Xenopus tropicalis: one gene and its partners. The protein of the gene in region 2 interacts with the protein of the main gene of each other region in a pairwise test. Links are inferred from orthologs where the notes say so. Each region holds a gene or a part of one and is shown on either strand. Other genes may lie near its edges. The genes, in order: rai1, pin1, zmiz2, jakmip2, ankrd40, amot and abi2.

Evidence for each region.
Region 1: the proteins of pin1 (region 2) and rai1 interact in binary tests that used the Homo sapiens proteins (3 or more experiments, as listed by UniProt). The two-hybrid records come from large-scale screens. The link is inferred for Xenopus tropicalis from reciprocal best matches to the Homo sapiens genes PIN1 and RAI1.
Region 3: the proteins of pin1 (region 2) and zmiz2 interact in binary tests that used the Homo sapiens proteins (3 or more experiments, as listed by UniProt). The two-hybrid records come from large-scale screens. The link is inferred for Xenopus tropicalis from reciprocal best matches to the Homo sapiens genes PIN1 and ZMIZ2.
Region 4: the proteins of pin1 (region 2) and jakmip2 interact in binary tests that used the Homo sapiens proteins (3 or more experiments, as listed by UniProt). The two-hybrid records come from large-scale screens. The link is inferred for Xenopus tropicalis from reciprocal best matches to the Homo sapiens genes PIN1 and JAKMIP2.
Region 5: the proteins of pin1 (region 2) and ankrd40 interact in binary tests that used the Homo sapiens proteins (3 or more experiments, as listed by UniProt). The two-hybrid records come from large-scale screens. The link is inferred for Xenopus tropicalis from reciprocal best matches to the Homo sapiens genes PIN1 and ANKRD40.
Region 6: the proteins of pin1 (region 2) and amot interact in binary tests that used the Homo sapiens proteins (3 or more experiments, as listed by UniProt). The two-hybrid records come from large-scale screens. The link is inferred for Xenopus tropicalis from reciprocal best matches to the Homo sapiens genes PIN1 and AMOT.
Region 7: the proteins of pin1 (region 2) and abi2 interact in binary tests that used the Homo sapiens proteins (3 or more experiments, as listed by UniProt). The link is inferred for Xenopus tropicalis from reciprocal best matches to the Homo sapiens genes PIN1 and ABI2.

The regions. Positions count from the first base shown.
Region 1 is NC_030685.2:15,515,028-15,519,558, reverse strand, and holds the start of rai1 (retinoic acid-induced protein 1), read left to right. Parts: upstream 1-1,328; 5' UTR 1,329-1,515; intron 1,516-4,531. UniProt on the Homo sapiens protein: Transcriptional regulator of the circadian clock components: CLOCK, BMAL1, BMAL2, PER1/3, CRY1/2, NR1D1/2 and RORA/C. Positively regulates the transcriptional activity of CLOCK a core component of the circadian clock.
Region 2 is NC_030679.2:136,780,145-136,784,653, reverse strand, and holds the start of pin1 (peptidyl-prolyl cis-trans isomerase NIMA-interacting 1), read left to right. Parts: upstream 1-1,429; 5' UTR 1,430-1,478; coding exon 1,479-1,536; exon of another isoform or gene 1,537-1,572; intron 1,573-4,391; coding exon 4,392-4,509. UniProt on the Homo sapiens protein: Peptidyl-prolyl cis/trans isomerase (PPIase) that binds to and isomerizes specific phosphorylated Ser/Thr-Pro (pSer/Thr-Pro) motifs.
Region 3 is NC_030679.2:126,301,041-126,305,072, forward strand, and holds part of zmiz2 (zinc finger MIZ domain-containing protein 2), read right to left. Parts: intron 1,345-4,032; 5' UTR 1,319-1,344; coding exon 1,269-1,318; intron 1,041-1,268; coding exon 926-1,040; intron 662-925; coding exon 459-661; intron 287-458; coding exon 100-286; intron 1-99. UniProt on the Homo sapiens protein: Increases ligand-dependent transcriptional activity of AR and other nuclear hormone receptors.
Region 4 is NC_030679.2:43,563,410-43,567,441, forward strand, and holds part of jakmip2 (janus kinase and microtubule-interacting protein 2), read left to right. Parts: 5' UTR 1-34; intron 35-947; 5' UTR 948-1,072; coding exon 1,073-1,201; intron 1,202-2,644; coding exon 2,645-3,142; intron 3,143-3,972; coding exon 3,973-4,032.
Region 5 is NC_030686.2:46,622,318-46,627,009, reverse strand, and holds the start of ankrd40 (ankyrin repeat domain-containing protein 40), read right to left. Parts: upstream 2,929-4,692; 5' UTR 2,857-2,928; exon of another isoform or gene 2,624-2,856; 5' UTR 2,562-2,623; coding exon 2,455-2,561; intron 22-2,454; coding exon 1-21.
Region 6 is NC_030684.2:52,155,941-52,159,972, reverse strand, and holds part of amot (angiomotin), read left to right. Parts: intron 1-90; coding exon 91-323; intron 324-1,573; coding exon 1,574-1,798; intron 1,799-2,407; coding exon 2,408-2,508; 3' UTR 2,509-4,032.
Region 7 is NC_030685.2:54,198,214-54,203,015, reverse strand, and holds the start of abi2 (abl interactor 2), read right to left. Parts: upstream 3,176-4,802; 5' UTR 3,094-3,175; coding exon 2,977-3,093; intron 1-2,976. UniProt on the Homo sapiens protein: Regulator of actin cytoskeleton dynamics underlying cell motility and adhesion. Functions as a component of the WAVE complex, which activates actin nucleating machinery Arp2/3 to drive lamellipodia formation.

The DNA of each region.
Region 1 (4,531 bases), on a different chromosome or scaffold from region 2:
CAACCTGACTTCTCTGTTGGACTGTTCCTTACCTGACAATGGGGAAGAGAGCAGCCCAGGAGCAGGAAGTATGTAGAATCGGAGCTGTGCATTTGTGCATTAACCCACAGCAACCAAAAAACCTTGACTTTCTGAATCAGATCAGTTGTGATCAAATGACCAAATAATTGGGGAGCCAAAAAGCCCTGATCCAGCCAGAAAGCAGGCAGTAGCACAGGGTCTCCTCTGGGTGGCAGCAAAGCGCAGGCAGAAGCGACTTCATAGCTTCTATAGAATGAATATTATCCTTATTATTTATACATGACAGGCAATGCCCAAATGGAGCTTCTCCTTTCACTATCTTTAGTTATTTAACCTTGGGAGGAAACCCACACAACAGGGGGAAAGTACACAAACCCCTTGCCAGTGTGGCCTTGGCTGGATCTGAACCCAGGGCCCCAGCACGGAAAGGTCACAGCTACTAACAGTATAACTATAAAGGAAAGGGTTAAGGGCAACTAATACAGCAAACCCCTCCCCAAAAGTAGTTCCTGTAGCTTCAGAGGTGTAACCCACCAACCCAAAAGAGGCGGGGCTTACTGGAAAGTGGCTATGGGTTTAAATGGGTAGCTGGTAATATTCTCCCAGCCAACATTCCCCAGGCAGCCATTCCCAAGCCAATCAGATCTCTCCAATGCTGGTGTTTCTCCCTGGGACAGTTTAGAAACCAAGGGACACCAGCAACAGGGTTAGGTGGGGTCTGTGTTCACTTCTAAAAATAAGGTTCCATTGGTTTCTATGAGACAAGACACACTGACCATAGACAGTAGCACAGACTGCCCTCTATCATTGCTGGTTTCAGGGTAGGGCATGTGGGAACATGTGTAATTGTATAACACACACTATTTGACTATATATAATGAACATATAAATTCCCAGAATGCCTCCGACAGGGAAAGGCCCATGTCTCTGCGGGGTAAAACCAGAAGCTATTATTATCCTGCCTAAAATAGCGCCGTGTGGTTTGGCCCAAAAACGTCAGCGACTCGGAGGGTAAAATCCATCAAGTCGTGCTCTGAGGCTGAGGTCCGGTTTTTGGGAGACTGGCCCAGTTTCTGGGTTTGGCCCAATTAGCTGCGTGTAAGGGGGGGGGGTATCCTTCCAGGTGTGAGTGGATTTATTCCTTCTGGACTCCCCCCCATCCTATCATTGCAGGGTTCCATATAGTCTGCTTGCTGCAGGGGTTAAACCAGCGCTGGGAGGAGGAAATGATCCCTTAGGTGTCCATTGACTCGGATCCACCACTAGGGGGCGCTCCCGGCCTTGCCGTCATCCCTTGCCCTCCCTCCATATACAGCAGGGCAGCCTCCTCTGGAAGTCTTTGTACCGATAGCGAGCAGGGAAGCGGGCACAGCTCACCTGGCAGCCTGGCATTGCCCTGTCTTCAGCCGGATTAGGGGGGACCCCCCTGCATATGGCCTGTGCCTGCCTGTCCCCACAAGGAGCCGACACAGAGGAGCTGGCAGCTGGAGAGAGGTAGGGGGGATTTACCCGTTCTACCAACTAATCATGTGCCCACCAGTAGGGACCCCTTAATCTTCTTATTCCTGGCACCCCTGCTAGCTGCTGGGCTGAGTGGGTGCAAGCTGCCACTTAGTGTCTAAGCTACTGAACTAAAGGGGGGTGCAAAGTGGCATTTAACCTCTTAGCTGCTAGGCTTGAGAGGGGGTGCAAGGTGGCTTTAAACCTCTTAACTGCTGGGCTTGAGGGGGGGGGCAAGTTGGCACTTATCTTCTTATGATAGAGGCAGTACCCAGGTGGTGTTTAACCCCTTAGCTGCTTGGCGTGAAGGGGTGCAAGTTGACAGTTAGTTTAACTGCTGAACTAGGGGCGGTGCCCAGGTGGCATTTAACCCCTTAGCTGCTCGGCTGAAGGGGGTGCCAGGTGACACTTAATGTCCTTGCTGCTGGGCTGAAGTGGGTGCAAGGTGACAATATTAGGCCTGCAATGTATATATATATATATTTTGTTTCTCATTTTTAACCTAATGTACTGATTGCTTCCACTGTCGCCGTGATATCATTGCAAACACTTGAGAAATCATTGTTGTGCCGACTTGGCACCAGGCAAGAATTGCATCATCATGTGCCAGCCCCTTGGCATCAGTGGCGCTCTCGGTGGGGTTATAACGGTGCAATGGTGTGAAATAATAACAATAACAGTTCCCTGTTCACCAGCTGGAGGTTACAGAGTCAGAGCTGGCAGTGAGGACTGACTACCTAAACTGCATTCAGTTAATGAAATACTTCTATGCGGTTGGTCACAAAGCTTTCCTTGGGTAGAGGGCACCTATGATATATATATATATATGTGTATATATATATATGCACACTTGTAGGCACTGAGGGCCTGTTGGGAGATTTTTGTGTAGATCCCTTATATAGCAGTGGGCATAATGCCATCCTGTTTGGTGGCCTTATAGACCAGCTACTATTATGTAACATAGTAACATAGTAAGTTGGGTTGAAAAAAGACATACGTCCATCACGTTCAACCATAATGACTATATATGTGCTCTAATGGGTGTGTGAGGCACAATTTTACTCCATCTGAGCATCTGAGGGGTCAGTGTAACTGAGGGTCTTGGCCTCAGACCGTATTTCATATGAATCAAGGCATGGGTGGGAGAGTGGCCCCAGTGAGATGCCACCTGTATACATGCATGGTAAGGCAAGAGTAGGAAGGGGGCGTAACTGTGGGTTAGTGTGTATGTATGGGGCCACTGGTTGCACAGCAGCGCTTTCTATATGAATACCAGGGCCCCATATAGATTGGGGAGCACAATAAAGTGGTACATGCTGCTGGTATCTACCGTATAGATGGGGTTTTGCTTTCACTGATTCAGTTATAACATGTGACACATTCAGACAGAATAGGAGTGACCCTTGTTAGGCAACTTCAGTGTCTATGGGGCTCCATTTTGAGTGCTTTGGGGCACAGCGCCCAAAACACTGATTGCTCTGACAGATTGTCAAGTATGTTATCTGTATATAGGGTTGTTTGTGCTTGAATGGCAGTGCCACCGGTAGAGCTATTCAGCTGTTCGGCTGGAAGAATCCAACAATACCAGTATATTTCCTTATTACAAACATGCCCAATGGCAAGAAACCATGTCAAAATGCATGTGACTGGGTACTAGGAGTTCCCTGTCCCAGTCCCGCAGGGCCCTGGGCCCGTACCACTGCTGCCCAATACTTGCCTCAGTCATTTTGCCCTGCTGTACCACACGGGAAGTGGGGGCAGGTATCAGGTGTTCTGATCACTGTGGGCAGGGAAGACTAGAGGCCATGTTCTCCGGTGGGCCCAGGTACTAAAGTTAAAGGTATCCGCCTGTCACTTGGCACACAGGGTAAATTTTAAGCCCACAAACCATCAAAAGTGAATTTTAGGGCTGATACCATTGCAGATAATGGCATTAGGTGGGCATTAAAGTGATACAGGTATGGGATCCCTTATCTGGAAACCCTGTTAACCAGAAAGCTCCAAATTCCGGAAAGCCCATGTCCCATAGGCTCCATTTTAATCAAATAATTCAGAATTTTAAAATTGATTTCTTCTTTCTCTGTAATAATAAAACAGTACCTGTACTTGATCCCAACTAAGATATAATTACCCCTTATTGGGGCAGAACAGCCCTATTGGGTTTATTTAATGGTTAAATGATTCCCTTTTCTCTGTAATAATAAAACAGTACCTGTACTTGATCCCAACTAAGATATAATTACCCCTTATTGGGGGCAGAACAGCCCTATTGGGTTTATTTAATGGTTAAATGATTCCCTTTTCTCTGTAATAATAAAACAGTACCTGTACTTGATCCCAACTAAGATATAATTACCCCTTATTGGGGGCAGAACAGCCCTATTGGGTTTATTTAATGGTTAAATGATTCCCTTTTCTCTGTAATAATAAAACAGTACCTGTACTTGATCCCAACTAAGATATAATTACCCCTTATTGGGGGCAGAACAATCCTATTGGGTTTATTTAATGGTTAAATGATTCCCTTTTCTCTGTAATAATAAAACAGTACCTTGTAATTGATCCCAACTAAGATATAAATAATCCTTATTGGATGCAAAACAACCCTATGGGGTTTAATTAATGTTTTATTGATTTTTTAGTAGACTTAAGGTATGGAGATCCGAATTACGGAAAGACCCCTTATCCGGAATACCCTTGGTCCCGAGCATTCTGGATAACGGGTCCTATACCCGAACTGACAAGTTAAAAATTTTGGCACCAATTTCATGTTCTAAATATAGACCACTTCTACCCTCTCACAGTTCCCCCCGTGGCTTTTTCTCACTAATGATGTAGGAGGACCGGGGGCAAAAACCTTAGAGGGTCTCATGTAACAGTGTGTGTTAGCGGATAGGCCTAGTAGTAATTAAGGCCAGCTTTCTTCAGCTGAGGTGAGGCCTGGCCTAAACTACAATGCTGCACTTGAGGCCTGAGTGAAACCAAGATGGAGGACGTGTGAATTGGATCC
Region 2 (4,509 bases):
TAATTGTAGGTAAAATAATACCCACCAAGTAGATCAGCAAGAAAAGAGTTGCGCCCAACGTGGGGCTCGAACCCACGACCCTGAGATTAAGAGTCTCATGCTCTACCGACTGAGCTAGCCGGGCACTTGTGAAACTTTCCATTTACCACTACAGCCCCTCTGTAATGTACTATCATCCCAGTTCTCTTGTAAAAATCCGCCTACAGTTTCAGTGAGCATGCAAAGCTGCCATACATGATCTCGTCACACAATAAAATATCACTAACTATCATCTTTATTTTATTCTATATTATATATAAAGCTGGCAAGCTTTTTTTTAATAATGGCTGCTGTTATAAAAACGATTGAGCAATAAAATAAAGGGCTGTTGTTACAATTAAGCAAAACACACTTTCCCTGACCGGGAATCGAACCCGGGCCGCGGCGGTGAGAGCGCCGAATCCTAACCACTAGACCACCAGGGAAGGTTGTATGTGAAATTGCCAGATTTATTTTTCCAAATCGCCAGTCAGTTCTAAAACCAGTGAAATACTAGTCCAAACCCACTTTGAAAGTAACCCAAAAATAGCCCAATGTGCAATGAAAAAAATTCTACAAAAATAAAAGTACATATGGGAAAACCTGCCTTTTTAAAGCATATAATCACTACCCAGTTACTGGAATGGCTGATAATTCCCTGCCCTCTGTGCCCAGTCCAGCTGGGAAGTCGCTACAGAAATAGATTCAGAATCTTGCATTAACCCCAGACTTATAAATATGGGTGCGTTCAACTACAACTCTCAGCAGCCCCAAGATAACTACAGACCTGCCCCCACATCACATACCCTATAGAGCAGGGAGCAGAACATACAGGTTGAGCCTGAAAGAGCAAAAAGGAATAGAAAACGGAGCCTCTGGCTAAACTGCCCAATTGCAAGCTGGGTATTGTAGTTTTATATTACTCCTAGTTGTAGGCTAATTGTTAGCTACAAACTACATTACCCAGCATGCAGTGGAACAAGCACACTAGGGGAAAAAACTGGCTAGGTTCCAAACTACAAACCCGCCAAGGCTCCAAAAACTAGTCCAAAACGGTACTTTGGCGGGTTTGTAATTTAAAAACAAACCAGGGCTTTAAATTAGTAGCCCAATTTGGCAGAAAAACCGCTAACCTGCCACCCATGCTTGTGAGAGCAATTTTAATGCGTAAGAATAGAGAGAGACGCGAACACATTTCTGCGCATGCGTCATACTGCTGCCAATGCGTACAACCTCTCAGCCCCGCCCCTTGTTTTATTAATTACTCCGTTTATTCCGTTACAGCCAATAGTGGGCGCATATCATTTCCCGCCCTTGCTTTCGGTTTTCAGGCTGACTACGTCGTCGGCAGATTAGTTAGCTTAATGGCTAAAAGCTTAGCAGGGACTTAACCAATGAGAAGCGCCGAGCTGACGGAGTGGTTTGTGTAGGCGGGGCTTGGCCTGACGCAGGAGGGAAAGATGGCGGACGAGGAGAAGCTACCGCCCGGGTGGGAGAAGCGCATGAGTCGAAGCTCGGGTATATGGAGTGTAGCGGGCACAGTTGTTATATAGAGTTAGTGCAGCGCTGGTTTGCTTTGTAGCTGTTCCTATTTTATTGTGTCTTGCACTGTGCATAGCGTCCTGATAAAGGTGCTGTTGCAAAGCTGCAGAACTACAATTCCCACTTTGCATTGCGCATTATAGTATTTAGTCGCCTGTAAACAGACTAAGAAATGCTAAGCATTGACTGCTTCTGCTACTGTATGGGGCCATGACTGGTGCCCTAGTATCTGCACCTATCTGTTCAGTGTCATTTGTGTCAGAGTTCGATCTGTTCCTGCTTAGATGCTGATGTGTCTGTGATTAACATGGTGCCTTGTGGCTATGTATTGTATGTATCCTGCTCGGGAATGGTCTTCAGTCAGGAGCCAAGCAGGCAAGGCCCTTCAGAGATCCTTAGTGGGGCCTAAATTAGTACAGTGGCCCCTGGGAAAGGGCCGTGGTATAGTAGGGAGAGATGGTGCCTATAGTAGCAGTGGGGGGATAATAGCCTCTGGGAAGGGACTGGGGCTGTGGGATAGCAGGTATAGTAGGGAGAGATGGTGCCTATAGTAGCAGTGGGGGGTAATAGCCTCTGGGAAGGGACTGGGGCTGTGGGATAGCAGGTATAGTAGGGAGAGATGGTGCCTATAGTAGCAGTGGGGCGATAATAGCCTCTGGGAAGGGACTGGGGCTGTGGGATAGCAGGTATAGTAGGGAGAGATGGTGCCTATAGTAGCAGTGGGGGGGATAATAGACTCTGGGAAGGGACTGGGGCTGTGGGATAGCAGGTATAGTAGGGAGAGATGGTGCCTATAGTAGCAGTGGGGGGGTAATAGCCTCTGGGAAGGGACTGGGGCTGTGGGATAGCAGGTATAGTAGGGAGAGATGGTGCCTATAGTAGCAGTGGGGGGGTAATAGCCTCTGGGAAGGGACTGGGGCTGTGGGATAGCAGGTATAGTAGGGAGAGATGGTGCCTATAGTAGCAGTGGGGGGGGTAATAGCCTCTGGGAAGGGACTGGGGCTGTGGGATAGCAGGTATAGTAGGGAGAGAGAGCCTCTGGGAAGGGACTGGGGCTGTGGGATAGCAGGTATAGTAGGGAGAGAGAGCCTCTGGGAAGGGACTGGGGCTGTGGGATAGCAGGTATAGTAGGGAGAGATGGTGCCTATAGTAGCAGTGGGGGGATAATAGCCTCTGGAAAGGGACTGGGGCTGTGGGATAGCAGGTATAGTAGGGAGAGAGAGCCTCTGGGAAGGGACTGGGGCTGTGGGATAGCAGGTATAGTAGGGAGAGACGGTGCCTATAGTAGCAGTGGGATAATAGCCTCTGGGAAGGGACTGGGGCTGTGGGATAGCAGGAATAGTAGGGAGAGATGGTGCTTATAGTAGCAGTGGGGGGATAATAGCCTCTGGGAAGGGACTGTGGCTGTGGGATAGCAGGTATAGTAGGGAGAGATGGTGCCTATAGTAGCAGTGGGATAATAGCCTCTGGGAAGGGACTGGGGCTGTGGGATAGCAGGAATAGTAGGGAGAGATGGTGCTTATAGTAGCAGTGGGGGGATAATAGCCTCTGGGAAGGGACTGTGGCTGTGGGATAGCAGGTATAGTAGGGAGAGATGGTGCCTATAGTAGCAGTGGGGGATAATAGCCTCTGGGAAGGGACTGGGGCTGTGGGATAGCAGATATAGTAGGGAGAGAGAGCCTCTGGGAAGGGACTGGGGCTGTGGGATAGCAGGTATAGTAGGGAGAGATGGTGCCTATAGTAGCAGTGGGATAATAGCCTCTGGGAAGGGACTGGGGCTGTGGGATAGCAGGAATAGTAGGGAGAGATGGTGCTTATAGTAGCAGTGGGGGGATAATAGCCTCTGGGAAGGGACTGTGGCTGTGGGATAGCAGGTATAGTAGGGAGAGATGGTGCCTATAGTAGCAGTGGGGGGATAATAGCCTCTGGGAAGGGGCTGTGGGATAGCAGGTATAGTAGGGAGAGATGGTGCCTATAGTAGCAGTGGGGGGGGGGGATAATAGCCTCTGGGAAGGGACTGGGGCTGTGGGATAGCAGGTATAGTAGGGAGAGATGGTGCCTATAGTAGCAGTGGGGGGATAATAGCCTCTGGGAAGGGACTGGGGCTGTGGGATAGCAGGTATAGTAGGGAGAGATGGTGCCTATAGTAGCAGTGGGGGGATAATAGCCTCTGGGAAGGGACTGGGGCTGTGGGATAGCAGGTATAGTAGGGAGAGATGGTGCCTATAGTAGCGGTGGGGGGATAATAGTAGGGAGAGATCGTTTGCAGCTTATTGGCCCATGTACAGTGCTGCATTCATAAGTAGCACTATTTACAAAAAAATTATACATAAATGCATGTATGGTGACGAGAACTGAATTAGTGCGTTTATGTTGTCCTTGACTAATGGGTCTGCATAGGGCCATTTTAGAATCTGCTTTTTATTGGCCCAGAAGCCAGTCAATCTGAACAATCCGATCTGGCTCAGATCAAATGAGCAGATATGTTAATGTATGAGTAACGCTATGCTATGAATTCTCCTGCTTTTTTTTTTATACCCAGTTATGGCTGCTTGTGAGTATAGACGTAAGCAGGGAATAAATGTTCTTTTGACATAGCAAACTTTGGCTTTACTTTACTGCCTGTGTACTAGATACTCTTGCTGTACTTTATAATCAATATAGCTGTCCCCCACTAGCGCTATTAAGTTATATTTGTGGTACAGGCACAGCTACCCTCTTGGTTAAAACATTAGGATGTTGGCAGCTCTGTGAGTATCACTGCTTGTTTGCACAGGTTGCACGAGGCTTTGCCCTTACATCTCTCTTGTGCTTTGTCTTGGTTTAAACAGGGCGTGTATATTATTTCAATCACATGACCAATGCCAGCCAATGGGAAAGGCCCACTACTGGTGGGAAAAATGGCCAGGGGGAGCCAGGAAAAGTGAGATGCTCTCACCTACTCGTGAA
Region 3 (4,032 bases), about 10 Mb from region 2:
GGGGGGTTTAGCACATGGGAATAGCGGGCGGCAGGTGTGAGGGGAGGAAAGGAGGAATAAAAGAGAACACAAACAAGAAAGGTGGAGACTTGTCCTCACCGCTCCATATGGGTTTAATTCCTGGCTCTGTTTCTCCTGTAGGGCAGCCACGGTTGCTGTTGCAGTAGCAGTTGCTGTGGCTGCTGCCACCGCTGCTGCAGCTGCTGCCTGTGTGAAATCTGCTGGGCCACGACCGGTATGCTGTGGCATGCCCATGCCACCTGCAGATGTGGGGCCACCGGGGTAACTGTAGGACAAAAAACACACACACACATTTGCAATGACTGTGCTAGAAATACAAATATATACACATGCATTATACACTAATGAACACAAAAATTATAATTAATGGAAATATAGATCAACCTGTCCAACCACCACCCCACACCCACCTAAACAGCACAGAGCAGTTACAGTACCTATTGGTATACGCATTGCCCCCAGGGTATCCACCTCGCCCATATACGCTTTGCTGTAGGTAACTCTTTCCTGCTCCACCTTCAGGGAAACCTTGCTGGCCAATAAACTGGGGGCTTCCCATCCCCCCAGCATTGCTTGTTAGACCTGGCATAACTCCGCCCCCACTGGGGCCACCACTGGGCACCATGGGATTACCAAAGACCTGAGGAGAAGAAAGAATTAAAGAAAAAATGTAGTAGGTTCTTTGTAGTGGTCAGGCAAAGGTGCAGGAAACCTGTATATAAATATATAATATGTTGTGTGCTTTTTAGAGGACAAGTAAATGAGAAATGAATTGCAGGTACAATATAATATATTACAGGTTGGCTGGAAGGATTTAATGCATCAGTGCTTTGTAAGGCACTGGCAGGGGAAAGGTTAAGGCTGAACAGTTTAGAAGGCACCTCCCCCAGTGACATCAAATTACCTGGCTCTGCGATGTGTTGCTCAGACCCCAGACGGTGGTTACCACGGAGAGGGATCCTGCTGCCTGATTGGTGCTTGGTTGCCAGGGAACAGACTCGTATGCAAATGAACCATCACTGTCAGACAGAGGAGGAAAATAGTTGTGCGCTTAGAAATGGTAGCAAGTGCAGTGTGTGTGTGTGTGTGTGTGTGTGTGTGTGTGTGTGTGTGAGCATGCAAAGGGACAAGAAGGGCACGGATATAGGCAGGCAGGAGTCAGTGTGTGTGTTCAGAGGGAAAATGGCAGTGCACATGCAGGAAGAGCAGGGAGAGGTGTGAAAGAGATAGGGGTAGCGGTCTCTCACCTGTGCCCGGTGCTGGGGTGCGATGGTTTCATGGGGTTCATGGAGTTCATTTGCAGGCGACTCTCTTTGTAAGGGGCTGAAGAACAATGATATACAGTATCACCTCACCGTTCCCTACATCACAGCTGCTCAGTACCCTCCCTAGCAATTATGTGACGCCAAACCTCTCGCACACATCCCCTCATTCCCCACCCAGCTCATATCCTATACAGGGTCAGCACACTACTGGCAAGTTACTGAGCGGCAATTCACACAAACCAATGACAGCAATGTGTGAGGTAAATGGCTTCAGCCAATGCCAAACCATGCAAATACCCACGTTGGTTAAGGATGATGGAAGTCGCAGTTCATGGGCTCGTTTACCACAGATTTGATAGCCTCAATCTATTATAAAGAAGTTGCCTATTTTAGAGTCCGCTTTAGGGGTTAACAATTTGCTCATCTGCCCCTCTCCCTTCCTCTTGTCACATGACCACGCATTCTGTACACAGGACGTGGAAGTTGGCAAGTTGCCCGCATCTGGCACTAGTTAGACACCCCATGATTAACCCTGTTTCTGTCAGGAGACACTGTAACTGCCCAGCAGGGAAGACACCAATGAAAACCCCCTCATCCCCCTCACAAACAGGTACCGCCCTCTCTTATGCTCCAAAGTGCACGCTTAAACAAATTCCTTTGCCCATTCCTGGGCATTTGTACACAGGCAACCTCCCCAAGGGAGCAGGGAATTTCACCCCCAGCCACTGCAGAAACTGTATCTCAAAATCAACACATGACGTCCACAAACTTGGCTTGAGTAGCACCTAGCTGCATTTGGGTCACTTCATAAAATGGAGGCACATAAATACATATATGCTTCTACACTGGGGTGCAGCAGGACTGGTAGCACGGCAGCCTACAAATACATTACAGGAGGAGTCAGCTGCTGCTCAGAAGGCAAGGGTCACCAGGGTATGTGTGCACAGAGGAGAACCAATGAGCAGCACACTAGCAGGGGGTCGGATAGGGTGTGCGCAGGAAGTACAGACACAGCAAAGGGAGTGCTCATTGGGGGACAGGAAGGAAATTAACAGGGGCAGGGACGGAAAAGGCTGAGCAGTAAGTGGGAGACAGAAATGAACAAGTGCAGCAGGGGAAGGGGAAACTTTCTTTGTGAGTGGGCAGGAGAAAGGGGTAGCAGGTGTCGACAGCAGGGCAAATATAAGGAAAATATACGAGGAAAGTGTCGGACAGACTAAGAAAACAATCTCCACTTCTACACTAGTTTATTATCAATTATCCAGAAAACTTTATGTTAACCCTAACATAAGCTTTTTAATTGTTATAGTGTTTGAATTAGTGAAAAAAAATGTTTGCGGCTGTCCAGTTTGCAACTGAACACCTGTTACCTGGTTGCTAGGGCCCTACCTACCCTAGCAACCAGGGTTTGAACTGGAGCATTACTAGTTGAGGGGCTGAAGTACATACAGGTAATAGTAAAAATATCAACAAAAAGTAAACTAGGTTCTTTTACAGAGGATTTAGATATCATAATGGCTGATGATTAATGAAAGGGGGTTGCTGGGAGTTAAGGTACAGGAATCTATGTAAGTATGAAGTAGATGTAAAAACAAAACCGGGTTAGGGGGGAAGGTTGGGGTTGTCACAGAACACAAGCAGGTACGGTATTCATTAATACCCTGGCTTCAATAGGCCAAATGAGAAGTATAAGTGATGTACATCTAGCTACAAATCCCAGAATCCTTCACCATGCATATTGGCCAAGGATGCTGGGAGTCACAGTTTCAAAGAGTAGTCCTTAAGAAAACAGGGGATTGTCACATAACTGAAGCATGTATTCATTAATACCCTGGTTTCAGCAGGCTAAGTGAGAAGGTCTAACTGACATACCACTAGCTACAAATCCCAGATTCCTCCACAATGCATGTTGGCTACGGATGCCGGGAGTTACAGGCTGCATAACTGTATGGACATGAGTTTATTATTTCTGTGCTTGTAGGAATCCAAAGTAATAAATTAATAAAATGGTGAGGGGAGACAAAAAAGTCGATAATGCCCAGACACAAAAGCGCAAGGGCAGGCATACAATTCCTGGAAAAAGGCATGAGTTACCGAGCAGGGTTAATGAGCATGGTGCAGCCAGTAGGGCTGGCATTAATACACAAATCCTCTACTCCTCATCATGCTGCTCCCTCCGCCTCCCTCTCTCTCCCAACATGTCCCTGGAACATCGGGTTCTGTCTTGTTCTTGCTCAACAGGATCAGTCTGTCCAACCCAAACAAACAAGAATGCATAGCCCCCTCCCTCACAGCACAGCTCCCCTCTGTACTGCACAGGTCTCACTCCAACACACAGCAACAACACTCTGCACTGCACAGCAGTGCCCCACTCGCTGCATTACAAACACAAATGTGATCCCTGAATCCCAAACACAATCCACCCTCCCTGTTATATTACTTTTTATCACATTATTTAATGAGAAACAGCCACGAGAAACTCCCATCCTTCCTGCACTCCTTACTATACAGCATCACATCTCCTGCCTGCACTCCTTGCTATACAGCATCTCACCTACTGATTGCACTCCTTGCTATATAGCATCTCACCTACTGACTGCTCTACTTGCTACATAGCATCACACCTCCTGCCTGCACTCATTACTATATAGCATCACACCTCCTGCCTGCACTCATTACTATATAGCATCAGACTCCCTGCCTGCACTCCTTACTATATAGCATCTCACCTCCTGCCTGCACTCCT
Region 4 (4,032 bases), about 93 Mb from region 2:
TGGAGACAATGGATGTGGACGGTTGAACTCACAGGTAAAAGGGATTCACAGAATATTTGTAAATGTTCAAAATTTTGAAAATAATGAGGATAACATTCATAGTGATAACCCCTAATAAAATCTGGTCGTTTTGTTGGGCAACCAAAGCCCTAATATATTGTCACTTCAACTAAAGTACTCTAAGAAGGGAACTGGTATATATTTCTGATTACACACTTGCTCCGTGTAATGATAGTAGTGACAATCATACACTCACACATTCTGCTGCTTCAGTATATCCACACTTCTTGGGAAATGCCAGTAAATATCTGCATACAGAGGGAAAACCTTCACACAGATTAGAGTGGCAGCATTTGTAAAGCAAAGGCCTAGTGAATGGTCAGTAGGATTTTCTATTAATGTACAGAAAATCAAGGCAAGTGTAAGACCTGCACTTGCCTTTTAATGTGGTTAGGATATGAATTATAGCACACATTTCTTGATTAGTGACGAGTGAATCTCTCCTTTTTTGCTTCTCTGAAAAATTTGTGAAACTGCTGAAAAATTTGCGAAACTGAAATATTCCCGAAATACGGCTACTGCATACATTTTTCAATGCGTGCAACTTTTTTTCATGCAACCAAGACTTTTTCTTCACTTGCCAACTTTTGTCACAACAACTTTTTTCTGTGGCAAATTTTGCAAAAAAAATCACCAGTTGCGAAATGTGGAATTTGCCAGCGATTCCATGCCTGCTGAAAAAATTTGCTCACCACTACTCTTGATGAATTCACTATAGGAAAACACATCTCTTCCATTTAGCCTAGTACATCATTACTAGCCTTACTAGTAACACTCCTGTATAAATACCTTATACAATCTATGCCTAAACAAAGGGACTAAACACCAAATTAATTCAGCAACTGTAGTGACATAATAAAAAATTAAACATTTTTAAATTATTTCAGGGCTTCCAAGAGTGCAAAGGGTGGTACTTCCCTGCATCATAACATAAGAGGGGCCCAACATCCACTGGGGATGGCTGCTCCTAACTGAGTCGCGAGGTTGGACCAACACAAAGTAGGCAGCAATCATGTCTAAGAAAGGCAGAAACAAGGCTGAAAAGCCGGAAGCTCTTTTACTTGCTCTTCAAGCTGCTAATGAAGACCTCAGGGCAAAATTAACAGACATTCAAATTGAGCTGCATCAGGAAAAGTCTAAGGTAAGAAAAGCCATTTAGCTTCTGATCAGCATGTCCAGATGTCCAAATGTCCAGTCTTCACCATAAATGATCCCAGATGACACAAGCACAATGTCCATCCTGCAACTTTCCTCTTCCAAAAGTAAAGAAGATTTCATATTCTCTGCTGAAGGGAATGATAGCTGTAAGTAAATGGCTGGGGCAATATAGGCTGGAATGGTAAGGGGTCTTCAGTCCAACACAACAGTAGTTGTGTTCATCCTTATCACTAATTTTTCTCTACACCCATGGTGTAACTAGAAACTATTGTAATTTTACAGTTCCGTAAAGTTTGAGAATAAAACATTTTTCATAAATATAGGCTGAACCTACTTTTCAATCAGAGCTCCACTGGTCCCCCTATACCTCCAGGCTCCCCAGCTCTCACTGGTTGTGCTTCCTCTATCTATCACAGTGTAAAATAAAATGGCCATTTTTCAGTTTCATGATATTCCTGTCCAACAGCTCTTCCAAAACCAAGTGCTTTAATCAGGACCAGAATGGGAATAGGGTTTAGGAAACAGAGGTGGCTGTCTAGGGCCAAGGTGACTGCCTAGGGCTGCAGAAGCACCATTTTAATTGAGATGCTAGTAGAAGCACTTATGTAGTGCAAATTCATTATAAGCATTTATATTTACCAGAATTATTTCCTGTGCTCCCAGATCAACTATGACATACACTGTTCATTGTAGGCAATGGCATTGCATGTCTACTAATATAAGACAACAAAAAGCCTTGGTCTGTAGAGACATGGTGAAGCTAGTTTTAGTCTCTTCTGGCTATGTAACTGGAGACTTTATGTTACCTAAATCATGAAAATTGAGGTCCTGTCGTCTGTCATATAATGAACTTTTCACAGGCTCAGGCTAGCTCTCTGACAGCACCAGCAAATGCCACTATGCTCTCTATAACTTGTATTGGCATTTACAGGAATTGTGTACACAGTCCTTTAAGGGTTAGTGTGATAAAATGCCAGAACATTATTATTATTAATCTCACTGTGTTACTGACATTTTAATGGAAATCTGATTTTTTGAACAACATTTTAAAGAAAAGTATTGCCTGTGCTGGTATTTTCTCCAAAAACAAAACAAAAACAATACTTCAGAGCATTAGAAAAGTATGCTGACTCTTTTGTATTTTTATAGAGAAGGGTCAATATCACTGCCCCTTCTGTTATATAATAGTGACCCACCTGTTTAGCTGGCGGCGTGCACAGTTTATGTACTGGAATGGAGGAAAGTGGAGGAGCCCAAAGATGCTGGAAAACCAATTTAAACTGCGTCCCTGACCTATACCCAGGCCAGAATGAAGGCTGCGTATTGGTTTTCTTTTATGAAAATGTATTTAATTTGCATAATACTAATTATCATTAGATATGTAATTCTGTTTATTGTTAACTCTTGTGCTTTCTCCAAAACACAGGTAAGTAAACTTGAACGGGAGAAGAACCAGGAAAGCAAACGCATTAAGGAGCAAGAGCAGCACAGACACACTGTTACAGTTACCGAACTAAAGTCAAAGCTTCATGAAGAGAAGATGAAGGAGCTTCAGGCGGTGAGGGAAAACCTAATCAAACAGCACGAGCAGGAAATGTCAAGAATGGTCAAACTAAAAGAGGCAGAGATCCTGCGTCTCAAGTCAACTGTCAATGCCTTGAGGGATGGCAGTAGTGACAAAATAAGGACAGCACTGAGCACTGAGGCGCGGGAGGAGGCCAGAAAGGTTTTTGACTCTGAGCGCCTCAAGCTCTTACAGGAAATTACAGAGCTAAAGTCGGCCAAGAAGCAAGTGGACGAGGCCCTTAATAATATGATACAGGCAGACAAAATTAAAGCTGGAGATCTGCGGAGTGAACACCAGTCCCATCAAGAGGCCATTGCCAAGATTAAATGGGAAAGTGAAAGGGACATCAGAAGACTGGTAAAACCTAATTTTATTCTTATAAAAAGAGATATGTTTACAATGTTAAAAAATATATATCACAGGGAAAAAAATACTTGCAATATTTTAAGTAGGACAAAAGAGATACCTTCCTGGCTCCATAGCAGGGTACATGTAAATAAATCAGATATAAGTGTATGGAGCAGGACAAAATGTTGTAGAACAGTATACACCTTAAGACACCTTTGCTAAAAATGAGCACATTAAATAGCATTGTGTTGAAATTACATTCAACATATTGTTTTCATTTTAAAAAAATCCATATTTTCCTATTTTTGCCATTATAAAGCACTAATATGAAAACTGGACTATTTCCTTAAACTTAATCCCAACGTTCTTTAAAAACAGGTCAATTTTTCCTATCAACCTTTGAAGAAACAAACCCCTCCCTTCTCTAAGCAACTGAGTAGCTTATTATCAGGGACTTCTCAGGTGTCTAATTTTCGTTATCAGCTTCTGAGCCTTTTAATGCCCCCAAACCATACTCTGTAAAGTAACTTGTCTAAAGTCAAAAGAGATTGGCCAAAACAAGGTTTTGCATCACTGGGGTAAATGCCATTTGGCACAATTATACACCACATAACTCCAGGTTAGGCACAAGACTAGGCAGAGTTGCACTGTTCTGTGCCATATGTATATGTCAAGGTTTTTGCATTGTGGCACAACCTGGGCACCAATATGTGGATGTGCCGATTGTTGCTTTGTAAAGTATTGTTTTTTCAATCAGTATGATGCTTTTTATAAAAAATCTTATATGGAATAATAACATAACCTTTTCTTTTTTTTTTTTTTTTAATGTTGTGCTTCAGATGGATGAAATAAAAGCAAAGGACAGGATAATCTTCTCATTAGAGAAAGAACTAGAAACC
Region 5 (4,692 bases), on a different chromosome or scaffold from region 2:
CACGCCCAATGCAGGCAAGTCCTTGGGGAGATACATACAAATATAATGAATATAGGCCAGTGGGGTCTAGAGGAACAGCTGGGTTATACCAGTACTATACTGAAAGCCGCCCTGGGTGTCTTTAGCTGTGAGTGACATCATCAAGGAGTGTGGGTGGGATGCCAGTCAAGAGCCTGAGGGATACTGGGAGGGGCAATGCTACTCTGGGAGTTGGGGTAGAAGCCACTGGGGCCACTTGATAACTGGGGTGAGTGCAGGGAGGCAGGGTGGAAAGGCAGCTACAAAGTTGAGCCTTAGTGGAGTGCCGATCCCTAAAAATTTACAGAAAGAGTAACTCTGTGCCGTCCCTGCTCCTACATTTATTGCAGCAATGTTTCCATGTTTCCTTCATCAGGCCCAAAGAGAATGGGTCCCCCCAAAACACTACTGCCATAAAGAGATATGAAAATATCCATCTGGGAGTCTGGCTATTAAACCCATATATGTGCATGCCAAAAGCACTGGAGCCATGCTGCAAGTCAGAGCCAGTGGACAATACCGGATCGGTTACCCTTTACCCGAATGGTACATTATCATTTAGAGCAGGGCCATCCAACGGGAGGCCTCTGAGTGGATTTTTATGGCTCCCAGGCTGCCTAAAAGCTCCACAGACCTTACTGTATATTATCTTTTTAATGTAATCCAGCCCTTAAACCTGCAATATCATATATAATTTGCCCACTGCATATAATCAGCTATGATTTAGAGCAATGGCGCAGAGGGATAAGGAACAAGGACAGAGATATATACTTAATAATGGATAACTTTAATTAAATGGGTGGATCACCTTCAGGTTAACTTTTAGTATGTTATAGAATGGCCTATTCTTACAATTGGTCTACATTTTTTATATATTTTTTAAGCTTTCCAGATTTTAAATGGGGGCCAAAAAACTATTGCTCTGTGAGGCTCCAGTTTTATTGTTATCGTTACGTTTTATGACTTATTTTTCTATTCAGCCCCTCTCCTATTCATATTTCTGTCTTTCTGTCAAACCACTGCTTGGTTGCTAAGTTATATTGGACCCTAGCAACTAGATAGTTGCTGAAATTCCCAGCTGAAGGGCTGCTGAACAAAAAGCAATTAAAAAAACACAAATATTAGAAAATGAAGACCAATTGCAAATTGTCTCAGAACAGCACCCTTTATGTTATTATAAAAATTATTTTGAAGGTTAACAACCCCTTTAAAGCAAAATCCTGGATGGTTGCTTTGTTAATTTTCTCCTCCATACCTCTGCAGGGTTCTGGCTTGGTTGAAGCAGAAATCTGTGATGAGAGTAGAAAAGGTCCATTTGATGCTTAAAGGCCCCCATACACGGGCCGATAATAGCTGCCGATATGGGTCCCTTGGGCCGACTCGGCAGCTTATCTGCCCGTGTAGGGGCAGAAACGAGCAGACTGGCCGACCGATATCTGGCCTGAAATTGGCCAGCTATCGATCGGCCAGGTTAAAAGATTCAGTCGGATCGGGGGCCGCATCGGCTCGTTGATGCGGTCCCCGAACCGACTGATACATTGCCGCCTATATAATCGCCTATTTTTTATTTTTATTTTTTTAACTTCGAGCTCCCCGATATCGCCGACCTGTAGGTGGGGATATCGGGGGAAGATCCGCTCGCTTGGCGATCTTACCGTGTATGGGGACCCTTAGTCAGATAGCTATCAGACCCCCTATATTTATTTTGTTATATATATATATATATATATATATAAAAAACCATGTAGACAATTTTTGTATACCATTTATTTTTGCTGACACAATATTTTCTTAAAAGTCCCGTGAGTGCTGGCCTTTATTGCTCTTTTATATAGCACAGCCAGCACCAAGGGTCTTATAGTTCAAACAATCTCAAGTGTATTGCATGTATTATTGGTTATACATGCAATACACTTGAGATTGTTTTGAACTATAAGACCCTTGGTGCTGGCTGTGTTTTATTTTGTATTCCGTGCACATGGGCAGCTATTTATTAGCATTTTGGAGTGAGGTGCGGTCGTGAGAACTTTTTTGTATATAAATATATATATTTATATATAAATAAAGTATTTATTGAAAAAGATCTGACGTTTCGAGCACGAACCCTGAGGAAGAGCACCGTTAGTGCTCGAAACATCGGATTTATTTTTGCCAGCACTCAGGGCTTTTGATCTTGTATAGGGTGTGCTCCATTTGTTCTTGTATGTATGTGTATGTATATATATATATATATATATGTATATATCATAATAACACCCATCACCCAAACTGCCTAGGAGTGCCCAAGTACTAACAGGACCCTATATTTGTCCCACTGTGCCTACCTGAATACCCATCTACTGGAGCCATGCTACCCTGCAGGGAGAACTTACACTTCCAGAACCAATTCCCCACCCCCATATAAACAACAAGATGGGGGTTGGGGGTGCCACTTACCAGCCATTGATTTCATTCTGTGAATTAACATTGGCCCCACATCTCAGCAGCTTCTGCACCTCTTCCAAATCCCCCAAAGCAGCAGCCTCCCTCAATCCTTCTTCCATGTAGGTGGGTTCCAAAAATAAAAATGGGACCTCGGTTTTACTCTAGTAACATCTTCATCTGGCTGCAGTAATAGAAATATATATCAGATTTTATGCAAAATAAAAAGGCAGCTTTGTGATTCTTCTGCGAATCAAACGAGTAGAAAAGAATCTATAATTGGGGCAGTGTGATAATGAGAGAGCCCGGAGCGGGCAGGGAAGTGGTGCCAGTGTAGCCCTACCCCCGGGCCCAAAGCAACATAATAGCTGTGTAACGCACAGGGTACGTACGGCTCAGTCCCACTCACACACCAACCATCACACTGTAAAGGTCCCAAGATCACGATCCCACTCTTCCGATTTAACGTAAAAATAGAGATAATCCGCCCTCCCGGATGGAGGCATGTCTCCGGAACACTCTGCTGGGGGACAGGAATCCGTGGGACACCGCAGGCGCGGCACTTTGGTTCCGGGTTACGCACGAATACACAGGCCCGGAATGTGTCTCTTGCTGGGGCATAATATTGCGCCACTGGCTTCAATAATAAATACTAGTGTTTAGATGTATTTTTTATAGCGATTCTTCATTTTGTTGATTATTATAATGAAGGTTCCTTGAAGCTATAGGTCTAAGCAATCACTCCCCCCCCTCAGTTTGAGACTGACTCAGTATCTCACCTCCCAACATTTTGAAAAGGGAAAGAGGGACAAAAATAAATGATTTTTTGACCATGGCCATTTTTTTGCAGCCACACCCCCTAAACACCACTCACATTTGACTAAATTTGGCAGATTATTTAAAGTTTGAACACATTTCTGGGAGTTTTGGGGTCCTGTTCAGGGGCGGGCCGAGGCGACCAGGCGCCCTAGGCAACCTCGGGGTGCGATGCGATGGATCATTGCCCCCACCGCGTAATGACAAGCGGCTGGGGCAATGGGGCAATGACATGGGGTAGGCAGGAGAGGCTCCTGCCTGGCATCCCCCAATCGTTGGGCCCTAGGCCATACCTCCCAACATTTGAAAACGAAAAAGAGGGAAAAAATATTTTGCCGCGCCCACTATATGGCCACACCCCCAGATGTCCCATTTTTGCACACCGTCCCGCTGTCCCAGATACTTACTGAAATGTCCCGCTGTGTCTTTAAGTGTCCTGCTCGTCTTCAGGTCTTTTTGGCTTCCTTCGGGTTTCCTTGGCTCCTTCTGTCACTGTTGTCTTTGGGTCTTCACAGCTTCTTCCTGCACATTTTTTTTTTGTTGTTGTGGGTGCTGGTGCTGCTCAGGCTGCGGGTCACAAAAGTTACGCTGGTGCTGCTGTGCCTTTATCTACTACTGTACAAGCTCTACTTACTGCTCCTTTTTTTAAAAAAAAATGAGCTTGGTGAGTCCCTGACTGTAACAAAGGTGTTTATTAATAATTACTGACTGTAACAAAAGTGTTTATTAATAATTAATATTAATTATTAATAAACACCTTTGTTACAGTCAGGGACTCACCAAGCTTATTTTTTTTAAAAAAAGGAGCAGTAAGTAGAGCTTGCACAGTAGTAGATAAAGGCACAGCAGCACCAGCGTAACTTTTGTGACCCACAGTCTGAGCAGGAGCAGCACCAGCACCCATCCTGTTACTTCTGAATTTCAAGTGAAATGGCTTGCTCTGCCATACTCATCTCGCGAGACTTGCATAAAACTACAAAAGGACCGAATGCCAAAGCACCTGAAGGAGCCAGAAAGAGCCGAAGACAAACGCGCGGAAGAAGCCGTGAAGATCCGAAGATAGCGGTGACGGAATGAGCCGAGAAAACCCGAGAAGACCTGCAGACGAGCGGGACTCTTAAAGGCACCGCGGGACATTTTGATAAGAATCCGGGACAGCGGGACAGCAGGCAAAAACCGGGACTGTCCCGCGTAAAGCGGGACAGTTGGGACCTATGCCCTAGGCAGCTGCCTCTTCTGCCTACCCCTAGTTCCGGCCCTGGTCCTGTTTTATGTGTTATTACAGTTTTGCTGAAACTGCCCTTTACTGTGAGTCTCAGTTCACCCAAGAGACCTGTTTAGCTTATTAGTTACAATTGTATCTCAGTGCAGGGGGGGGGGGCTTTTTACCTTTCTGGGCTCTCTGCCATAAACCCACTTATTTAATTAAATGTGAGA
Region 6 (4,032 bases), on a different chromosome or scaffold from region 2:
CATAAGTTTCTTTTATTTTAGTATTTAGTAAACTCATTAAGAATATTCAATATAAGTTAACGTTTGTTTCTCTTTTGGTTTGTCTTGCAGGATAAAGACACTACACGCCCAGATTATTGAAAAAGATGCAATGATTAAAGTTCTCCAGCAGCGGTCCCGCAAGGACCCGAGCAAAACAGACCAATCCTCTACCATGCGGCCTTCCAAGTCACTTATGTCCATTTCCAATGCAGGATCTGGGCTGCTTTCCCACTCCTCTGCACTGAGTAGCACTCCCATTTTGGAAGAGAAGCGGGAGGACAAGAGTTGGAAGGGCAGCTTGGGTAATTATAGCATTACATTACAGCAAACCAACTTCATATAATTCTCAAGGTTGAGTAGTTGCATACACTATATTACTCTAAGGTAGTGCTGTCCAACTTCTGTTGTACCGAGGGCCGGAATTTTTCCGACCTACGTGGTGGAGGGCCGATAATGGAAGCCAGTTTTGACAACTCCCCTTTTTGAAACCGCACCCACTTGAAACCACACCCATGTTATCACATGACCATACCCATATTAATGGTTGTAGTACAGCAAAAACCTGCCATACTCTGCCTGCCCTACCCTGCCTGTGTGCCATACTCTGCCTGCCCTACCCTGCCTTTGTGTGTGCTATACTCTGCCTTCCCTACCCTGCCTGTGTGTGCCATACTGTGCCTGCCCTACCCTGCCTGCGTGCCATACTTTCACTGTGTGTGCCATTCTTGGCTGGTTTGTGCCATACTTGGCCTGTGTGTGCCATACTCTGCCTGCCCTACCCTGCCTGTGTGTGCCATACTCTGCCTTTCCTACCCTGCCTGTGTGTGCCATGCTCTGCCTTTCCTACCCTGCCTGTGTGTGCCATACTTTCACTGTGTGTGCCATTCTTGGCTGGTTTGTGCCAAACTTGGCCTGTGTGTGCCATACTCTGCCTGCCCTACTCTGCCTGTGTGTGCCATACTCTGCCTTCCCTACCCTGCCTGTGTGTGCCATACTCTGCTTGCCCTATGCTGCCTGTGTGTATGGCACACACAGGCAGCCTACAGTGACACAATGCTGGCACTGCTCCTACAGTCTGCACAATAACTATATATTAAAAAACTTTTTAATTGTAGTACCACCTCAGTATATGTTCTTTTTGTAGTGTGCAGGGATTATTTGTGGGTTTCTACTGCTCCTGAGGTGTGAACAGGGGAACAATGGGGGTGATTACAGCCTGAGCCTGAGGTGTGAACAATGCAGAGATTAAAAGGTGTGAACAACACAGGGGATTACATATTTAAACAATACAGCCTGATTACAGCCTGAATCTGAGGTGAGAACCATGCAGGGGGGGGGGGGGGGGCAGTTAATCACAGTACTGATACCATTTAAAGCTTACACAAGAGTAAGCCATCAAAGCAGCCAGACAGGTGGGGGGCCACACAGAGGGGGGTCGCGGGCCGCCAGTTGGACAGCACTGCTCTAAGGGCACACAAGGTGATATTTAAACATGACTTTCTCATGTTGCCTTGTAAAATAATTGATGGATTGCCTAAATATTTTATTTTAGGAGTACTACTTGGAACTGAATATCGATCGGAATCTGCATCCTCCACTCCCTCCCCTATTCTTCCCTCCACACCCCTTCTCTCTGGACACTCCAAGACGGGTAGCAAGGATTGCTGCACACAGACAGACAGAGGGGCTGAGCAAAACAAAACTCCATCAGTGAGTGCTTCTCCTGGCCCCGGGAGGCTGACTACTCCTAGCCCTATGTACACCTCAGAGAGAACAGGTACTATTCCACAATACCGTATTTTTCCGAAGGACTAGCTATACAGCAAATTATTTTGAAATGTAAACAAACCATTTCAGTTTTTGAAATTTAAATGTTGCAAATTGTTTCAAAACCAGATATGATTTTTAAGTTAACTTAATGTCACTATAAAGTGCATGTTGAGAAAATTAAACTACAGTTTTTATTTTGTATAAGGGAATATATTTTTATTCCACCTCCTCCTTGTCATAGTAGTAGGTCTAGTAGTAGGTCTAGATCATTGTCTTATAAATCACTAATAATTGTCTGACAGGCTAAGGAGATAAGAAGATGCTATAATGATATCATTTTCTTTTCCTATCTCCTCCACTTTTCTTATACAAACAAATCATTAGGCCAGTCTGTCCCTTAGCTGTTCTGTCTGCTTGCAGGTCAACTGAGTGCACTGCCCCCAGGTCAAAACCCATACTAAATCATAATACAGATTTGTAAAAGGCATGAAAAGACTGTTTGTGATACTAGCACATATGTTAGTCTTATTTAGAACCACAACGGTTTAGAACTACTGTATTTTTTTAATCTTATAAAGTGGCTGAATTTGATTTTTTTTCCTGTTTAATCTTCCAGCAGACACAGTTTTCCAGTCAAGCACCTTGGATCGAAAGAACCCTCTCCCACCTCTGGGGCAGGATCTCACAGATGGGGAGTTGGTGGAATATCTCATATAAGCACAGGGTTTATTTTTTTCATAACAGTTATTTATAGGAAGAGTGGCCCCAAATTATTTATATGGACACTAAGCAAATTAAATAAGTTTGTTTTCTATTACAGTAATCTTTCCTTTCATATTTAAAAAAACACATGTATTTTGTACCAAAAAAGGGGACTGAATCTCTGCAGAACGACGTTTTTCCGGATTTACACGTGGCTACACTGTTGTAGGCAGATAAATGAATTTATGCCATTTCTGGCACTGAAGGGTTAACTCACAGGCCTCTGTGTGTAGCATTATTTGCCAACAGAACTGCGCCAAACAAGAATGCACTTCTTTCATAATGACTTATATATTATATGAAGAAAAATGTGGGTGGCTGGTGTGTGGGCCCCACAATATTTTTTTTTCTTTTGTTTCTATTGTTCCCGCCATCTTTAAAATAAGTTCCTTACTCTGCAAAATGCATTTATTAGAATTTTTGTAGATATGATACTCTTTCACAGTGAGTCTTTCTGGGAACCTCTGTACTAGTAACAGGATGCATTTAGAAAAGCTGAACCTTGTGGATCCAACAGCCATCTGCATTTTAAAGTATTGCATATGTATATGTAACAGCTTTTAAACTATGGCAGTAGATGTTGTGTGACCTTATGTACAAGCCAAGTAATTCACCTTGGTTATCAGGTTTGGAAAGGATTACTGTAGTGTCCTTCACTAGTGGCACTCAGTTTGGTCTGTATCTCAGTTTAAGTGACTGAGCTGCCATACTGAGATGCTCTGACAACTAATCATGAGAAGTTCTGATTTTAAACAAACACCACTGGCCAAAAAAAACATTTTTCCAATGTATATAAATGTAAAGATTACTCTGGTATTTGCAAGCAAAAGTACATTCTTAGCCAATTATCCATTCAGAGCTGAATTTGGCAGTATAAAGTCAAGGCAGTATAGGTTGAAGTGCTACTGTACACGCCCAGGCTCTTCTTGGCTCATTTGCTTAGTATTAATTGTATTGGTTACTAGTATGATTAATGCTATGCAAAAATAGCTGGGGTATTTACAGTAGTGCATGAATTCTCACTGACCTGCCTGCCTCTGACTTTGTGCTGCTAAACTTTGCATCAGCAACAGCCCCCAGTTTATTGGCAATCAATACTCTCTGCTTTGTCTATCACAAAGAGAGAACATTACACGGTTTCCAGGGCATCCGAAGAACATGGTAACAGATTTGCCAATCATGGAGACACTTTTTTTTTTTTTTTGCTGTATGTTTAGATCTGTTTGCCTTTAATATCATCAGCACAGCAGCCCTTACAGCTTTCACCTCTACTTGATAAAATTGGAAATGTCAGACTGCATAATCTCAATGTATTTTCATTTATTTTATTTATTCCCAAACTTTATATATAGATATCTCAGAACTCAGTGTAGTAGGGTTTTTATAAAATTTAGCATTTCTCATACATTTGTATCCAATAGAAGTCTTGCAGCAATGTTTTTATGTCAGAGTATTGCTAAATGTTCTGTTTCCCTATTA
Region 7 (4,802 bases), on a different chromosome or scaffold from region 2:
CAAATAATAAAAATGGCACCTACATTTTTATTTAATCACTTAATAAAATATTCCTTATTTCTTTCTTATTCACCAAAGGAAGTATTCCTGAACATGAATTTTATGCTAATTCTTTTGAGATGATAATAAGTAGAAATCAATTCTCATTTTCTTTTTATTGCACATTCTCATTGGATTTACACTGAAACCCCTACAGGTCATTGCAGCAGAATATGGTGAACACAGCTATTAACTCCCTGTTGGTTTGCACTAAAATATTACATGAGGGATGTCAACACCATAGCTTTATAGCAGGGAGGCATACATACATAATACTTCACATAAATATTTGGACTAAACCAGAACCCTAATAAACAAATTAAAATATGAACTGAAGTTTTTCTGTTAAAATGTTAAGGTTCTAGAGCAAAAAAAATGTATTTTTGCTATTTGGCCAGTAAATTTTCAACTGGTTCTAGCAAATCCCAAAAATGAGAAAATTCAGCCAGCTCCCAAACCTGTCTTAAATTAAATCTTCTTACCAGTCATAGGTAAATGTATGAATAAGAAACCAACAACACAGACAAAAAAAAATCCCACTCACTATTCCAGGTTTAAACAACTTTCCAAACCTTCTATATTAAAAAATTTAAGCCCAATGCTGGCAATATTAGGTCATTAATACATATATAATACATCATTCATTATTGGGTCAATTCTAAGCATTTTACTTTTTGTAGTTTTAGCACATTTACATTTGCAATTCCGTTTTGAGTCAAGATCAACATGATAACGTGATTTACTGAATCGGCAAAAAAACAAACCAAAACTAAGTATTACAGATAGTGAATCTATTATGCTTAGGACATGGGGTTTTCTAGATAAGGGGTCTTTCCATAATTTAGATCACCACACCTTATGTTTGCTAAAAATAATTAAAGCCCAAAATAAACCCAAAAGAATTGTTTTGCCACCAATATGGATTTGTGGCTTAGTCAGGATCAAGCACTATTTGCTTATAATGGATTCTAAGGGGATGAACTTGCCATAATTCAGAATTTTCTGGATAACAGGTTTCGATTTAACCAATCCGATTTCTTTAATTTTTATTTCATTTTCAAGAACTTCTGAAATCAACAGATGAAATGAATATACATCAATCTATTTGATCATTGTGGCTCTGTAAGACATACTAAGGTGCAAGTGTTGTGCCTATACAAGTTATTATTAGTTATTTACTGAAAGGAACAGATGCCAAAACTCAACATAGAAAAAAACTATTTTTTATAGTTCTTGAATTGTTTGCTTTCTTCTTGTAAGTCTTGGCAACTTTTAAATGGGGGTCACTGATTCAGGTCCTCTCCTCTTTATATATCAGTCTCTAATTCAAACATCACCCTGGTTGCTAAGGTAAGTTACACCCTAGCAACCAGATAACTGCTAAAGCTCCAAACTGGAAAACTGCTGAACTACAAATAATAAAAAAAGACCAATTGCAAATTGTCTCAGAATATTACTCTCTACATCATACTAAAAATTAACTCAAAGGTGAACGACCCCTCTAAGCAATTGGAAGTGTAACTGCTTCCCATTCAACTGAGTGTTGGAAGGAGTAAAGTGTGCTTCATCTCCTTTTGGTAGTCAGAAAGGAAACAGCCACATCAAACCACCACATAGTTGTAATTAACCTTCCAAGCAGTATGCAGACGCTCCACAAGAGTTTTTAACAGCTAAGCACATATGTGTCATGGGAAACGTAAGATGCATTTCCTAATGTAAACCTGCATAATTAATAAAAAAGGGACAAATCAGGGATGTCTCACACATTAATTACATGCTCCCTGTGGTAATGAAACCCTAGGGCAGTCACTGCATAACTGTATATAAAGCCCATACCATTTCATCAGTGTTCTACTCCATAAAACTACAATTAAATATATATATGAAAGATAAGCATTTCACAATATGACAAATAATGTATTCCATGACTGAAAAATATACATTGGTGTCTGTGTGAAAAATTAACAGCCTAAGAATCAGCTTTAATAAACGTGTGACATGGGGGGTCAGGGCATGCAGCCCAAAACAAGGAAAGAGAAAACCTACATATTCCATAGGCAGGAGTATAGGCTCAGCTCTGATACACTGCACTTACTGCTTATAGCCAGCTCTTACCTACAGAACAGGTATGCAGGTTCATTTTCTTTACAACTGTACACTAAATGGTAACATAACCAAGATATTTTGAATCTCACCAATTGCTTAGTAGCTTCCTAACATCACACACATAGTTGGCATAGTGGACATGTCTGGAATAACCCAACAGCCCATAAAGTGTAGGTGTATTCCAGTATAATGCTCCTGACTGAATGAACCATGTGACTGGTGAATGGGGGGGGGTGGATTTGAAGCAAAGTAACCTATTCTTGGGGGGCAACCTATGGCTCAATATTGATACTGGCCATTTTGGCAATTATAGGAGGTTTAAGATTGCACTCTTTACACTCAACCTCAATTGCCTCAATCTTACATTTTTACTGCACATTCCCACATAATATGATGTCATTTGCTATAGAAAATGCAGTAATAACATCTCCCCCCCTGCCTGTAGGAAGAGTGGTGTGTGCCACGTGATGCTATATATAAATACATGGTGACGTGACAGCAAGGCTTGCACAGCTACCCGTAAGGGTCAATATTGCAATAGGGTGAAGAGTGGGATTATTACACTATAATGTGCGTGCATATCCCAACGTGCCTGCCCATCACGGTGCTTTCATTATACTCAGGATCATCACACTGCATTTCACTAGTCATTTCTCTGTAAGTCCCAGCATCCCTCCCTCTATATAGGAAAGCCTAACTAGAGATGCCGGGACATAGACCGCAATCACATCTATACAAAGCTGCAGATCGGCGGTGTACGAGAAGCCCAGTCCAGTATTCCCTTGCCCCTGTCTAGCGCTACATCACATTCACAGCTCTAAAAAGTCGGACCTGTATGTAATTGTTCTCGCAGTAGTCGGCCACCCTCTCTAGGTTTGTGTAGCTGTCCAGCAGGGCCCGCCGGCCGCCCGGAATCTCTTCCTCCAGCAGCATCTGCAGCTCCGCCATCTTTTTCACCACATCCTCCTCCTTTTGGAGCCCCGCTACACTGCGGAGAGATGGAATGGTGAAGCGATCCTCGGGAGCGCGCCCTGCGCGTAACTATAATTAAAAAAAAATCCGAGAACGCGCTCCAAAAAAAAGGCGGCGTGCCCAATAGGATATGCACTTCCACGCACTAATCCATGGGAAACGCATGCGCACAACATAGGTAGGCGGAACCCTGGAATACGCGCTTCTGGCCGTCCTGCTGCATCCTCATTTGAAAACTCGTTTCCTAGCAACAGAGAGACACTGAGATGGAGGAATGTGGGAATAGAAGGGACGAAGGTGGTGACCGTTCCAGCCCTCTCTTTTATCATCCGTAAAGCCTAGCGATAATGAACATATAAGCCCAGTGTTAGTAATAAAAATAAGAACTTAACAAGGAACACAGCAAATTAGAAATGGCTTGAATTTGGTAATCATACTGCCTAGTTGCATAATTAGAAGCTATGGGGGATGTACATAAATATCATAGGACCCTCAAAATTTGGGGGAAAAGTCTCCTGCATTTATAATAACAAATTATGAATTTAGTGCTTCCCTAATTCAAGGTCACATGGTTTCTTGTTAGCTCAGTTTAAAAAAAGACATAATCTGCCTATTGGCCTGTTATCAAAATGATGGCCTCTGATTATAAAATGATTATAAAGGTCAGAGATGGATCCAGAAGTTTAAAACACTCAATTGCCATGGAGCATATCTGACCATGGATGCAGTCCCTTCCTGTTGGTTTGCAGGGCTCCTGATCATTACATTGGGTTCTAAACAATTGGATCAGATAAGTTTAGTCCACCAGTGGAAAGGTTTTTACCACAACCCAGATAGTTTTAGTCTTAAGTACAGGCCAGATTACATGATATTTCCAATGCTTTATAATTAAACACAGGCCAGATTACATGACATTTCCAATGCTTTATAAAGTTTGTCATGAACTAAAATTAAAGTCAGTAGTTTGAGCATGGCTTTCTGTTGCTGGTGCTGGAAATTGTTCTGCAACTGCTTAAAGTCCACAAAAGGATCAGCTCTTCTGAAGGTCAAAATTGCCAATGATCTTATTGAATACAGCGTTGAGTGAATAAAATATCAAGGAAAAGTGCTTTAGACATAAGCATAGGTCAGATCACATCATGTTTGTGATCATTTTTCATTGTTTGTCATGTACTTAAAGTAAACCCAGTAGTTTGGGCACAGCCTTCTTTTGCTGGTGCTGGAAATTGTTCTTCTTAAAGGCAACAGAAAGCTCAGCTCTTCTGTAAGTCAAAACTTCTAATGATCCTTTTGAATAGAGGAGTGAGTGAATAAAATATCAAGGAAGAAATACAAGAGCATTATGGATCATGTTTGTTTTATCAGTCTGAACTACCACCATCTGCAAATGCTATAGAACCCCAGCAGCTTCCAGTACTTTTTTTTTTAACTTCAGCAATATAGGACTCACTGCAGACTGTATTAAAGGAACAGTAACACCAAAAAATGAAAGTGTATAAAAATAATATATTATATACTATTGCTCTGCACTGGTAAAAGTTGTGTGTTTTCCTAATAAACACTACTACAGCTTATATAAATACCCTGCTGTGTAGCCATGGGGGCAGCCATTTAAAAAAGGAGAAAAGGCACAGGTTACTAAGCAGATAACAGATAAGTAGCATAGTTTCCCATTGTATTCTACA